3 linked regions of the Drosophila melanogaster genome follow. The protein of the gene in region 1 purifies or fractionates together with the protein of each later gene. This does not show direct contact. Each region holds a gene or a part of one and is shown in the gene's direction. Other genes may lie near its edges.

What was found. The genes of interacting proteins can lie anywhere in the genome.
Region 2: the proteins of key (region 1) and scu purify together in Drosophila melanogaster (affinity purification with mass spectrometry, with the first as the bait; one large-scale study listed by BioGRID). This does not show direct contact.
Region 3: the proteins of key (region 1) and RpL23A purify together in Drosophila melanogaster (affinity purification with mass spectrometry, with the first as the bait; one large-scale study listed by BioGRID). This does not show direct contact.

The regions. Positions count from the first base shown.
Region 1 is NT_033778.4:24,784,991-24,789,403, reverse strand, and holds key (kenny), read left to right. Parts: upstream 1-1,992; 5' UTR 1,993-2,113; intron 2,114-2,273; 5' UTR 2,274-2,362; coding exon 2,363-2,635; intron 2,636-2,699; coding exon 2,700-2,802; intron 2,803-2,860; coding exon 2,861-3,165; intron 3,166-3,308; coding exon 3,309-3,668; intron 3,669-3,720; coding exon 3,721-3,849; 3' UTR 3,850-3,890; downstream 3,891-4,413. Other genes in the region: Reg-5 (rhythmically expressed gene 5), read left to right, coding at 236-425, 554-1,116; CG3589 (uncharacterized protein), read right to left, coding at 4,004-4,092, 4,144-4,413.
Region 2 is NC_004354.4:18,089,448-18,093,402, forward strand, and holds scu (scully), read left to right. Parts: upstream 1-1,811; 5' UTR 1,812-1,934; coding exon 1,935-1,943; intron 1,944-2,107; exon of another isoform or gene 2,108-2,207; intron 2,208-2,504; coding exon 2,505-3,263; 3' UTR 3,264-3,406; downstream 3,407-3,955. Other genes in the region: Swt1 RNA endoribonuclease, read right to left, coding at 1-477, 536-790, 870-975. UniProt on the Drosophila melanogaster protein: Mitochondrial dehydrogenase involved in pathways of fatty acid, and steroid metabolism.
Region 3 is NT_037436.4:1,665,739-1,670,337, reverse strand, and holds RpL23A (ribosomal protein L23A), read left to right. Parts: upstream 1-1,683; 5' UTR 1,684-1,711; coding exon 1,712-1,742; intron 1,743-2,116; coding exon 2,117-2,529; intron 2,530-2,602; coding exon 2,603-2,992; 3' UTR 2,993-3,240; intron 3,241-3,296; 3' UTR 3,297-3,336; intron 3,337-3,373; exon of another isoform or gene 3,374-3,446; intron 3,447-3,508; 3' UTR 3,509-3,556; intron 3,557-3,592; exon of another isoform or gene 3,593-3,673; intron 3,674-3,741; 3' UTR 3,742-3,784; exon of another isoform or gene 3,785-3,970; 3' UTR 3,971-4,050; downstream 4,051-4,599. Other genes in the region: RabX5, read left to right, coding at 254-501, 562-663, 723-787, 850-983, 1,034-1,259, 1,315-1,373; CG7974 (uncharacterized protein), read right to left, coding at 4,094-4,248, 4,304-4,599.

The DNA.
Region 1 (4,413 bases):
CCACCTCTGCCCTGCGTTACCCAAGAGACCTGGTCGAAGTATGATTGCTTCGAACTTTCTTTTTTCTTTTTTTTTCTAATATCACCGACATATGTTCTCCGATTTTCGTTTATGACAAATCAATACCATATTCGGCTGGTGAACAGAGAAGCGATGATCTGCTTTCTAATTTCTATAACTTGATTCTTAAACACAAGACGCCATTAAAATAACCACCAATTTTGTTACTTTGCAGATGTCCCACCTCTACTCAACATTCGCTCAATTGGTAAGCGTGCACTGCAAGTCAACAGCCGCCGTCGGAGGCCTCCCAGTGAACCAGTGCAAGCACAACCTGCTCGGTTACGGGTCCGCCAAGCTGCAGACGCTCTCCGACGTACAGCTGGAGGCACTAGATCCGTATCAGCGCGATGCCAACGAGCTGAGTAAGTGCCTCTATCTGCGTGGGAGAATGATTGATTTCCGCGTCAGAACTTCCGCAGTGCGCAGTCGCGACGTGCTCGACGTGAGCTCTAAATCTCGGTGTCGATCTAATCGCTCTTTTCTTCCGCAGTCTGGTCATCGATTATGGGGGACCATCCGAGCGGAGCCAGCCTGGTGACAACGAGGCAGCCGCTCCAACAGCCCCTGCCAACTCCTCCTGCGTCCTCTCTGATCATCCTAACGCGCCAGCAACTTCCGCACGGAGCATCCCATGCCCACCCCATCCAGAGCTCCGGCTCCGCCACCAATCCAATCTTCGAGAGCGGCGAGCAGAAGCACAAATACGCCATGGACATGGACAAGGCCTACGGCTACGGGCCGCAGTCCAGCAGTGAGCTCCCAATGGCCGCCGCACTGACTTCAGAACCGTCCAAAAGATTCCTCACCGGACCTTTGGTGATCCGGGTGCGACCCGATGGCTCCCCGGTGGAGGAGGACAAGATGATGCCACTGCCGCGGGACGAAGACCTGCCCTACTTTCATCTTGGTCTGGCCGCCGCTCAGCCCAACAGGCACCGCAAGATCGCCACAATCAGCTCCTTAAAGCAGCAGCACTTCGCCTCTATCCTGCAGAGCGACCTCCAGCCACCCCACCAGACGCAGAGGCGTCTGTTCCGCCAGCAACAGGCGTAAGATCGCGGTCAGAGGATCCGCAGGCCTAGACCTAAGTCCTTGTGTGAATGTGATAGAGCAGATGAGGAGATCCTGCATCATAGAGTGCGAGAGTGAACGTGTGAGTCTTCTAGTTGTAGCCGTTTGAGGAGTTTTCTTGAATGCACTTGAGCTTTAATGGAATTTCGTATCGTATTCGTTTAAGTTTTTTTAATTTTATTTATTCGCGTGCATTAGTCGTAAGATCACATAGAGATTCTTGAGTAATAAACCGCATGATGATTATCATTGTTACGAACGTATTAATTCTAAAATGTGTGGATTGGGATGGAAATGAGGATGGGGATGCGGTCTGTGCACATAGCCAGGAACCGGTTGGTTATGGTAATACGAAAGTCGCATCTCGGCCAGCCACCAGTTCCTTGTCGCGAGCTCCACTCACACCTATATTTAACACGCGAAAGCCTTATTAACCCACATCTACAGAGTTGAGCCGAACAATGGAGGTACTGAATCCGGTTTGGCGGGTTCAGAACGCACTGCGCCGTCCATTAGAATTTGCGAGTTTTGGCAATTACATTTCGGTGTAATTTCGCTGGCAACTGGTTTGTCAGGCTCAGGCCTTTAGGACGCGCCCATTAATCTCAGCTGAGCAACAAAGGAAGGTAAATTGGGATGCACGTCACTGGGCTTGAATAAATGATGCCGGGACTTTCCACCGCCCTTGCAGTGCAAACTGCACTTCATATGCACGAGTTTTGGGCGTGTAATCAGTTTTATTGAAATTAGCTGCTTTTAAATTTAGATAGACGAGCTCGCCGATTGTCGATAACATTTCCGATTATGACAATATGACAATCAATGACACAAAAAAAGGCACATTTGAAACGATTGCGGTCACACTGGTCTAAGTTGTTTGGTAAATTAGTTAAAAGTAAATATTACTCCGAAAACAATTTTATTTCCTTAAAGCTTGTCAGCAAAGCAAAACGAGATAAGGAACGCAGTAGTATATAAGGTATATATGCAATAAACATGACAATTGCTTATTCCATTGTGACGCGTCGATGTAATTCCCACGCCTAATGAATCATTGCCCTAAAACTCATTTATTATACATTTATCCTTACTATTGCCGATATCAAATTAATCGATTTGGCTAATACTTTGCCGTCTAGTTTTCGAAAGAGGGGAATTCCCTCACCTGCGTTCACAGTCGTAAAATCTGATTATTAATACCCGCCATTGCTACCGCGACAACGGAGACATGTCGGACGAAGAGTCATTCGTTATCTTGGGTAGCTCGCCGTGCTCCTCGCTCATGCCGGACAGTTCCTTGCGGTCCGACGTATGTGGTAACGCGCAGGAGGCGAAGGAAACCGTTGCCTCTACGAGCACTCAGCCGCCAACAGTGAACTGTATTCCAGTCAGCATCACTGCATCGCAGCAGCAGCACAAATCGCTGGATTCCGGATCTTCCCAGCAACAATCCCTGGCGACCAGCTTCATTATGGGAGAAATTCAATCCGATGTCCTGAAGGTGAGCGTCTGGTTACCGTCTGGTCTGTTTAAATTCTAACAACAGTCTCTAAATCCAACCACAGAACAGTGTTTATTCGCAGTTTCCCAGCCTCTGCTCGTTGCAGGGCTCCGCAGAGGAAGTAGTTAAGCTGCAGAACATGATGACCGAGTACCTCGCGCTAAAGAGTGAGCATTTTTTTCCCGTAAAGTAATATACAGCAATAATATGCCATTATCCGGCCAGGCACACTTGACAAGGTCAACCAAACCATGCTGAACTACCACAACCTGACTCAACAATGGCGCCAGGAAGCCGCCGACCGAGAACACCAGTACAAGGAGCATGTGAAAGAGTGCCAAGCGCAAATCGCGATCCTTCGCGTGGAAAACCAAGAGCTGAAGAGGGACCTAGAGACGAAAATCGAGCAGATTGAAGGGGTTCATACCATCAGGCTAAAGGAGCAGGATGAGCTTCGTAAGAGCGTATCTGAGAAACAGTCCCTGATCGACAACATGCGCGTGGAGATTGACAAACTGAAACAGCTAAATGTATGTCTACCAGTTGCTCCAAGCGATAGGGCAAATACTTGCATACAGACTCGCAATCATTGCTATTCTGCATTGTAAACTGGACAGTATCTCTTTAAAATATTCTCTTCCGGGCTCGCACCCTTTTTCTTCTGTTATTTCAGCACTCGTTTGAGTTCGTACCAGAGTATGCAACCGAATCAAAATCCCAGGAGCTGATAAAGAAAATGCAGCTGGATATTAACGAGCTGAAGGCCAGGGACATCCAGAAGCAGGAGGTGATCAAAGGTCTACAGATCCAAAACGATATCTACCGCAGGGACTTTGAAATGGAGCGGGCAGATCGCGAGAAGAATGCCGGAGAGAAAGATCAGTATCTTATGGACTTGCGATCATTGCAGAGGAGGAACCAGGAGCTTATCGAAGCTCTGGCCGAGTCCCACAAGGCAAGCAAGGCGTGCTCGACCGCTTCTCCGCTGAGTTCAAGCAGAAGCAATTTGCGAGAGGAGCAGAGACCAGTAAGAGTACGCTGATTCCAAAGTCCATAAATGTCAATACTAATTTTTGTATCGGTAGATTCTCGACCCAACAGGCGCCTCATCCCGGACTTCAGACACCACTTTGCGATGTCCGATCTGTTCAAAGTCCTTTAACGCCTTAAGCGTGCTTCAGAGTCACGTTAACGATTGTTTGGATAAAAACTAAGCACAATTTCTTACCATATTAATAAATTTATATATATATATATATTTTCTTTTTTTACAATATCTTGTTTAATCTTAAAAGCCTGGCTAACCGGCCATATTATATAAAAACACTAATTACAGTTTCGTTAACAATGAACAATGCACGAGTCTCCTCAGAGTTTGCTGCGAATGGGGGGCATTTCCAGAGACCACACGCGGTGTACATCTGGACTGGCTACCAGGTTGCTAAGCACATTTAAGTCTGCAAAGAATTAAGATAAGCTAGAAACCATCGATTCGACATTCTGCTCACCGTTGGTGCGTGCAAACTGCTGCAACGTGTTGCGGATATCACAAATTGGAATGGCTGTATTTATGTTTGGGTAGACGACGTCGTCTAATTTAATGTTGGACACACAAACGCCTAGGATGCATCCATTCTGGTCGAACATCGGTCCTCCACTTTGGCCCGCCTGCACGCTGCCATCGGACATAATGGCCCCGGTGTCGCACTTGATGACCCTCCCTTGAAAAATCGAAGGGTTGAAGTCGTGCCTGAAGCTGAAGTTAACGTAGTAGGGAA
Region 2 (3,955 bases), on another chromosome or scaffold:
TGCCCGGCAGCACCACATCGGTCAGTCTCTCCACGAACTTGTGGTTGTGTATGAGGACGTTGGTGTCCAGCACAAAGTACATGTAATCCTCAAGCCTTGGGGGCAGCTCCTCGGCATCGGCCGCCTGCAGCATCAATATAGTGTCGTCCTCTTCCTTAGCCTCATCCTGACCTTTCTGTGGCGCCTCCTCTTCAATGGACTCCGCCGGCAGCATCAATAGAGTGTCGTCCCCTTTCTTAGCCTCATCCTGATCATTCTGTGCCGCCTCCTCTTCAATAGACTCCTGCCATTCCATGGGCTCGACCTCCATATCGCTGGCCGTCGAGCCATCAAATGCACTTGGATTTGTGATGTTGCAGGCTTCTGGTTGTTTTTCTATCACCTCTTCGTTGATCTTGGCCACAATATTGTTGTTGCGCTCCTCATATAGCTGCTTCTGCTGCAGCGAAGCTCTTAACAGCATGAGACGCTGGTAGGCTAGGGAGACGATAAGGAGAACATGGGATATGAGTAACTATATGCACCGGGCACTCACCAGTTTGGGTACGTCCCGCCTTCAGGCGATTGGCATCGACCAGGGCTTTTGGCTTTTCCCAGGCATTCATCGCCACCTTAGGCGGAAACTTCAGGAGTCGCTGGGGCGTAGATGTGGACGCACTTGATCGACGAGATGCGGAGGAACTGTGGGTGATCCGCTTGGTGGTCCCCTGCTCCTTCTCGTTGTCCTGCACCCGCTTTAGTTGGCCCTGCAGGCGCTTGAGGCGGTCCTGGGCGGGATGCTGGCTCACTCCTTGCCATATTGCGTGGAAAAGTGGAGTTGAATCTTGGTTCTGGCATTCTGGCAAACGCGCAGTTTGCATGGGTTTTACCATTTGACGGACGTGGCGTGCTGATGATCCTAACCAGCTGGTCGTCGTCCAACGGCCTCAGATTGGAAGACTTTGGCGTGTGCTTACTTTCTCCACCGAGCGACATATTGTGTTCTTTAACATTTGATTTCTAGGAAGTACTCATTTATTTTGTATTTCAATAGGCAATCTGACTTAGAGGTGGAGAAACATCGATGACATCATCGATATCATCGATCTTTTCAAACAATCACAAGCATCGATGTTTTTCGAGGAATCATCGATGTTCTTCCATACATCGGAGGACAAAAGTATATAAATTGGGGGTATAAATTAAATTCGGATATAACTTTGTTATGATTTATTTAAAATACTCCTTATTTATATAAGCAATATTTTTTTTTAATTATTATTTATTAAGTGAAGTAATAAGAAATATTAAAAATGAAAATAATCTTAAATTAAACAGAAACAATGTTTTGTTTTTATTTAAAGCATAAATGTTTATGTTCAAATTAATTTAAGTTATAAACCATAAAATAAATTAAATGAGTATATGTAATTCTACGGCATACATTTTGGCGTGGAAGCTAAATACGAATTCATACAATGAATAGCTTATAACTAAAATTTACTGTAATAATCTATAGCATAAGTTGTTTTAAGCCATTGAATTTGAATAGCTAAAGATTTCATTTATAAAGACTTGAATGCTGCCACCTTAATTGTTGCAAAAACATGTTCTTGAAATAATAAGTTGCCAAGTTAGTTAGCTTGCCAAATAAAATCTTCACTGTTTGCCTGCTCGAGGTAATTTATATTTAAAAGTTCTTTCAAAATCTTGCAAATTAATTGCTTGGTAATAAACAAATTGATTTAAATTTAAATTTAAAAAAAAACTCAAAATTTAAAAGCTAAGCCAATGATAGGAGCCCCCTAACCGGTAGGCAGTATTTTCAAGCGGCGCACATACGGTCACACTGCACGGTTTCGAATCGCTTAACAAGTTTTTGCTTAAAAAGCTTTGCCGAGCACTAAGTAACCACCGCCTTTCGCACCCACAACACAACGCCACCAGCCAGAACAATGATCAAGGTACGTGGGGTGCTGTAAATAAGGATCACACTGCGATTAGACGGGAATTAGTGCAGCAAAAGCGGCCGATGACTGCGCGGCCGGGGTGCAAAGTCCAATTGGGATGTGAACTCGTGTCTATTATAAACATGGAGTCCCATAAATAACTGTATCTCTGCCCACAGCGATGTACCTTGTACCCAGCCAACAATTAGCATTACTTCCCCACCGAGTTATACAATAATACAATGCGGCTTATCGGGAAACTGGACACCGAACGCATCGGTCAGCTGCTTTCGAAATAATAAGATAAACCGGCATCGGATTATAAGTTTATCTGCAAATTGAGGATCGTGCTATTTCTATACTAACTTTAACGGACAACTTCTCAATGTTGTTAAAGATAAGGATCTCAGTCCTACAGATCGTATATTTTGCATTCTATATGCTTATTCTGTTAAGATCTCTAAACATTGATGTTGTAGTTGGGATGAAATGGAATGGAGTGCATTTTTAGAATCTATTTCCTTGGATATATACATATATATATAGTTTCTAACCCCATGCCTTTCCCACCCCCAGAACGCCGTTTCCCTGGTGACCGGAGGAGCCTCTGGACTGGGCCGCGCCACCGCCGAGCGCCTGGCCAAGCAGGGCGCCAGCGTGATCCTGGCCGATCTGCCCTCCTCCAAGGGCAACGAGGTGGCCAAGGAGCTGGGCGACAAGGTGGTCTTCGTGCCCGTGGACGTGACCTCCGAGAAGGATGTGAGCGCCGCTCTGCAGACGGCCAAGGATAAGTTCGGTCGTCTGGATCTGACTGTGAACTGTGCGGGCACAGCCACCGCGGTAAAGACGTTCAACTTCAACAAGAACGTGGCGCACCGCCTGGAAGACTTCCAGCGGGTGATCAACATCAATACCGTGGGCACGTTCAATGTGATCCGTCTGTCCGCCGGACTGATGGGCGCCAATGAGCCCAATCAGGATGGACAGCGCGGCGTGATCGTGAACACCGCCTCGGTGGCTGCCTTTGATGGCCAGATCGGCCAGGCGGCCTACTCCGCCTCCAAGGCAGCCGTGGTGGGCATGACCCTGCCCATTGCCCGTGACTTGAGCACCCAGGGCATACGTATCTGCACCATTGCACCGGGTTTGTTCAACACGCCTATGCTGGCCGCCCTGCCGGAGAAGGTGCGCACCTTCCTGGCCAAGTCCATACCGTTCCCGCAGCGCCTGGGCGAGCCCAGTGAGTACGCCCACCTGGTGCAGGCCATCTACGAGAATCCGCTGCTCAACGGCGAGGTCATCCGTATCGACGGTGCTCTGCGCATGATGCCCTAGATCCGGCTGAGCACTGTCTTGGACCTGTGGAAGTGGCTCGATCAGTTTGCATTTATCTATTGTCTAGTGGTTAAGCTGAAAAGTTTTATTATCTGTCCCGAAATTATGTAATAATTGCTATTAAACACACAATGTCACATTTCAAATTTTGGAGGCGCGTCTGCCTGCTGTTCTTCAACACTGGTTATATATAAGGGATAGCTGGGGTGTATTGGCTGCACAGGTCGTTGCAACAGGTGGATTAATTTTTTGTAAGTCAATTTTATTACTGACTTACTATTTGTGCAATTAATTCTTAAGCAACCATGTATTTATAATAAGAAAATAGTTTACTATCATATTTACAAAGTTGGTCTGAGCTTAAATATTTATTGAATAAAAGGGTATTTCTAAGTCGCTAGCCCTTAAGATTTCCCTGTTGTTCCCGCAAGTTGGCAGTTCCGTTTCAAAATGTAAACAACGAACATTTGAAAATCGCTCTTCAGAAGATAATGCCATATCAGCGCTGCTGAGCCGGGAACTTCGTAGGGCAGCTGGCGGGGATCAGGAGAATGTACCCCCTGTCCAGCAAACGGATCGCTTGGGAACACAAGACGCAGAGCAATTTAAGTGGAAGGAATCCCCGGCAGGAGATGATGCACTGGTGGTCAATGAGGATGCATTTTAAGTGAAGAAGAACGAAATGGACACTG
Region 3 (4,599 bases), on another chromosome or scaffold:
CCCAATATTAAAGCTCAGCTCTTAAGGCCTTCTCCCTATCGGAACTAACCCACACCCGAGCTGCTCTTATCGAGCACCTGCATTTGCAATGCAAAGCAGGGGGTGTAAGGTAGCTTTCGGCACCTTGGGCATGTGATAGCCACCAAGTTCAAGCCGACCAAGTTTGTGGTTTGCGGCGGAGGCGATGACGCCGACGACGTGGCTGGCTTCCCCAATTTGAGCTGCTTAGTTAGTTGGAATAGAGACGTCCGCCATGCCCCATCGACTGCGGCAGAACCTGCTGTTACCCCAACCGCCCACGGTGGTCCTGCACGATCCTCGCACCCACCTGCGGCACCTGCCACCCGCCTACAGTGCCGCACAGACTCCGCTGAGCAAGGAGCGGGACTTTGGGGCGCAGGTGCGCTACTACCTAGAGGCGCCTCGCAAGCCCAAGTTTCGACCCTGCAAGGTCATCTTCGTGGGCGACTGCTCCGTGGGCAAGACGGCCATCGTCAATCGGTGAGCATGGCATGGCATATAGGCATTACTAAATTAATTAACTTACACAATCATCCGCAGATTTTGCTACGACAAATTTCAGTCGAACTACAAGGCCACCATTGGCGTGGACTTTGAGCTGGAGAACTTCAGCATTCTGGGTCACAACTACAGTCTGGAAATGTGGGTCAACTGCCTAGAAGGCGCTATCAGTTTGGTTTTGAAATGTGCTCTACTTGCAGGTGGGACACTGCTGGTCAGGAGCGCTTCAGGTGCATCGCCGGAGCCTATTATCGCAATGCGAGTGGTAAGTACCAACTAATTAAATCATTAGGAGAGAGTTTTAACAATACAAATCCATAACCAAAGTGATTGTGGTCACCTACGACATGTCGAAGAAGGATTCGCTGGAGTCGGCAAAAAAATGGCTAAATAGCGCACTCAACTACAATGCAAGCAAGAGACCCTTGGTTTTCCTGGTGGGCACAAAAGCAGACCTCTTGGTAAACCACCTTTCCAACAAAAGATTCAAGTAATAGCACTTACTTTTCAGTCGAAGGAGGAGTTTGTACGCATGGAACGACTGGCAGGGTTGGCAGCCGCCGAGCTTCAGGCGGAATATTGGTCCGTTTCGGCGCGATCTGGCTTCAAAGTTACGGAATTATTCCAAAGGATCGCTGCCCTGGCCTTTGAAGAGGCTGTAATGCAGGAAATTAGGTCTATTAAGAATAAGCCTCAGGAACAGGCCACTCAGGCATCTGTTAAATCGCAAACTTTTGGTAAGCCGCTATTCGAAAATTCTTATCCTATCAGCTTATATTTATTCTTATTTAGATTTACGCAACTTCTTTGGAAGCCGCCTCTCGCAACAGAAAAGTGGCTGTACTTGCTAGCCTGCAGATTGCACAACTTGTATTTTTAGCTTAACGTAAGACATTGAATAAAACAGTTTTAAACAATTTGGTTACTTCTTTCGCTTTAAATTCGAATTCAACAAGTACCGTTACATTTTAAACACCGTTAGCGTTGCCACTCATTTTTGCGGCTGTGTTGCACGCGCACAGTGTCAAGATAGCAAGCCAGACACGGCTAATAAGTGCCGCAGCAGTGTTGCCAAACGCACTGAATGCGTGCCAAATTCCAGCTATCTGGCCACCCTCCTGTCAAAACGGGCTTCCGCCTTTTGACAACTGCCCCTCAGTTTTCCTTTTCATTTCTTTTTCTCGTAGAAATGCCACCCAAAAAGCCAACCGAGAAATCCGGTAAGGATTTTTCATTCAAAAATATGCGAAAAATGCGTGAATCGATCAGCAAAAGGGAGACGACAGCTCAGCCCACCAGAAGGCAATCGAATTTGTGCGAAATATTGTGATTTTAAGGCATAAATGTGTTCGAACAGATAATCCGTAGTTTCGGCCACGTGCGGTGTGTCTGCGTGGGAATGTCCAAGTGTGTGTTCAGAATGGGATAGTATAGCAACCGAGTGAGCAATCCAAAGTTGAATTTATTCGAATGGAGCTGGATGAGTCGGAAAGCGTCCCATTGCCTTGCTGATCGATCAGGCCTAACCTAACTTTGTGCGTCGAGAGCCGAACATGTTTACTAATCCGTGGACTCCGCGCTCTTCTGTTTACAGCCAAGCCTGGCGACAAGAAGCCAGAGCAGAAGAAGACTGCTGCGGCTCCCGCTGCCGGCAAGAAGGAGGCTGCTCCCTCGGCTGCCAAGCCAGCTGCCGCTGCGCCCAAGAAGGCTGCTGCCCCAGCGGCTAAGAAGGCTGCTCCGGCCGCCAAGAAGCCAGCGACCGCCGGTGCTGCTGCCAAGAAGCCCGCGGCCGTAAAGACGACCGCGGCCGCCAAGGCCAAGAGCAAGGATGCCAAGAAGAAGGTCCTCGCCGGCAAGAAGCCCCAGTCCGTGCTGGCCAAGCTCTCTGCCAAGGCTCGCGCGGCCGCCAAGGCCAAGAAGGGCGTGAAGCCCGTGACCAAGCCCGCCAAGGGAACCGCCAAGGCCAAGGCTGTGGCTCTGCTGAACGCCAAGAAGGTCCAGAAGAAGGTGTGCATCAGCTGCTTAATATTGAGGAGATCGACTCGGACTAACCTCGTTCTTTGTTGCTCTTTTCGAACAGATCATCAAGGGCGCCTTCGGCACCCGTGCCCGCAAGATCCGCACCAACGTGCACTTCCGTCGGCCAACCACCCTGAAGCTGCCCAGGAGTCCCAAGTACCCCAGGAAATCGGTGCCCACCAGGAACCGCATGGACGCGTACAACATCATCAAGTACCCACTGACCACCGAGGCGGCCATGAAGAAGATCGAGGACAACAACACCCTGGTCTTCCTCACACACCTGCGCGCCAACAAGAACCACGTGCGTGCCGCAGTGCGCAAGCTCTACGACATCAAGGTGGCCAAGGTGAACGTGCTCATCCGGCCCGATGGCCAGAAGAAGGCCTATGTGCGCCTGGCGCGCGACTACGACGCCCTGGACATTGCCAACAAGATCGGCATCATATAAGCGCTGCAATCTGCGGTAACGTGTGGAATGGGCATCGCGTTCTACATTTTATATGTAGATTCTTTTCTATAAACAAAGTAATGCTAAGCTGACACGGTAGAGCGAGGATGAACGTTTCAAAGTTGTCTGGGTTTAATAAAACCACTCAAAAACTAAGTGTGGGTTTTCAATGTGGGCTCAATGGGTTCTGAGTTTCTTTCAGTTTTCTCTTTCAGATTGGATACTTCAGGTTTTAGCGCTCTAAATTGGTGAGTTTTTAATAACAAGCAATCTTTCAATTTGCTAATACTACCTTCTATCGCAGGCTGTCTTTAAATGGGAAGCTTAACTTGCTAAACGAAGAGGTAATTAAAGTTTTATTTTGTAATTTTAATGTATAACACTTAGCTGATGATATTACGAGTAGGAATCTCATTGAAATAACCATGAAATCAATTTTATCTCCACTGATAGCATTATGCTCAAGGAAGCTGAACTCAACCAAACCAAGCTAATCAAGACTTTATTTCGTTTCAGTTTTCAATCTGGCTCGTATCTGGATCCTTGGATATGAAATTCTTCAAGGTGTGTATATTTCGGATGGAGTAGTTTGAATTGTAATCTGCTCTGATGATATTTCGAGTAGGAATCTCATTGAGCTACCTGTAGCTATGAAATCAATTTTAATCTCCCACTGATCAAATCATTTCAAACAACAATGGCTTCTCTTAAAGCGCTTTATTTAACAATTCTTTTTTAATTCATTTCAGTTGCGCCATTGTTTCCCGATTCTCTGGACTAACTTCTTATAAGGTGTGTATCTGTTTTAGTTACTGACAACTTCTTTATTGTGATGATATTTTGAGTAGGAATCTCATTGAGCCTCAGTCATTCGTTGCTTTGAAATTAATTTTGTCTCTCACTGATTGCAAGCATAAAAGCAAATATGTTCATCGTTGTGAAGCATAACTAACCAAGTGTTTGCTTTTATTTTTACAGAAGTGGCCCGATTAATGGATTAATGAGTTAATTCTTAAAGTACATTTAATTGAAATATATATAGAAATAAAACAGAATCCTGAACCTAAACAATTGTACATTTTATTGCTGGCACTCGTATCTTTAGTATCTGCGGAACTGCTTCCTAAACTTATCATAATGGTAGTCATCTGTGGCTCGCTTGACTCCATTGGGATTCGTCTGATGCTGTGCGGATTTGTTGCCCTCCCTTTCCTCACGCTTGCGCCTCCTTTGATCGCTGTTGTCCTCGATGTTGACTGGAAGTAACAAAGGTTTAGTATCCGCGGAAACGTTTCACACTTGGGAACTCACATCGATTGTGTTGCATGAAGTTCACCGCCATGTTGGTGGGCACGAATTGCGAGGGTCCGTCCTTCTTGTTCTTGGCGTCCTGCAGCAGCTTCTGCTTGGCTTCCTCGGTGGCCTCTATGTTGCGGATCTTGGCCACAATGCCCAGGTCCACTTCAGGAATGCCATTGAGCATCTGGTTGGACAACATCTCCTCCGATCTGTGCGAGGAAGACTGCCTCAGGTGGTCGGGCAGGGCGTACAGGGCGGCATCCTCGGGGGTCAGGTACTTGTTTACATCACCGTCGTCCTCTGCTGCG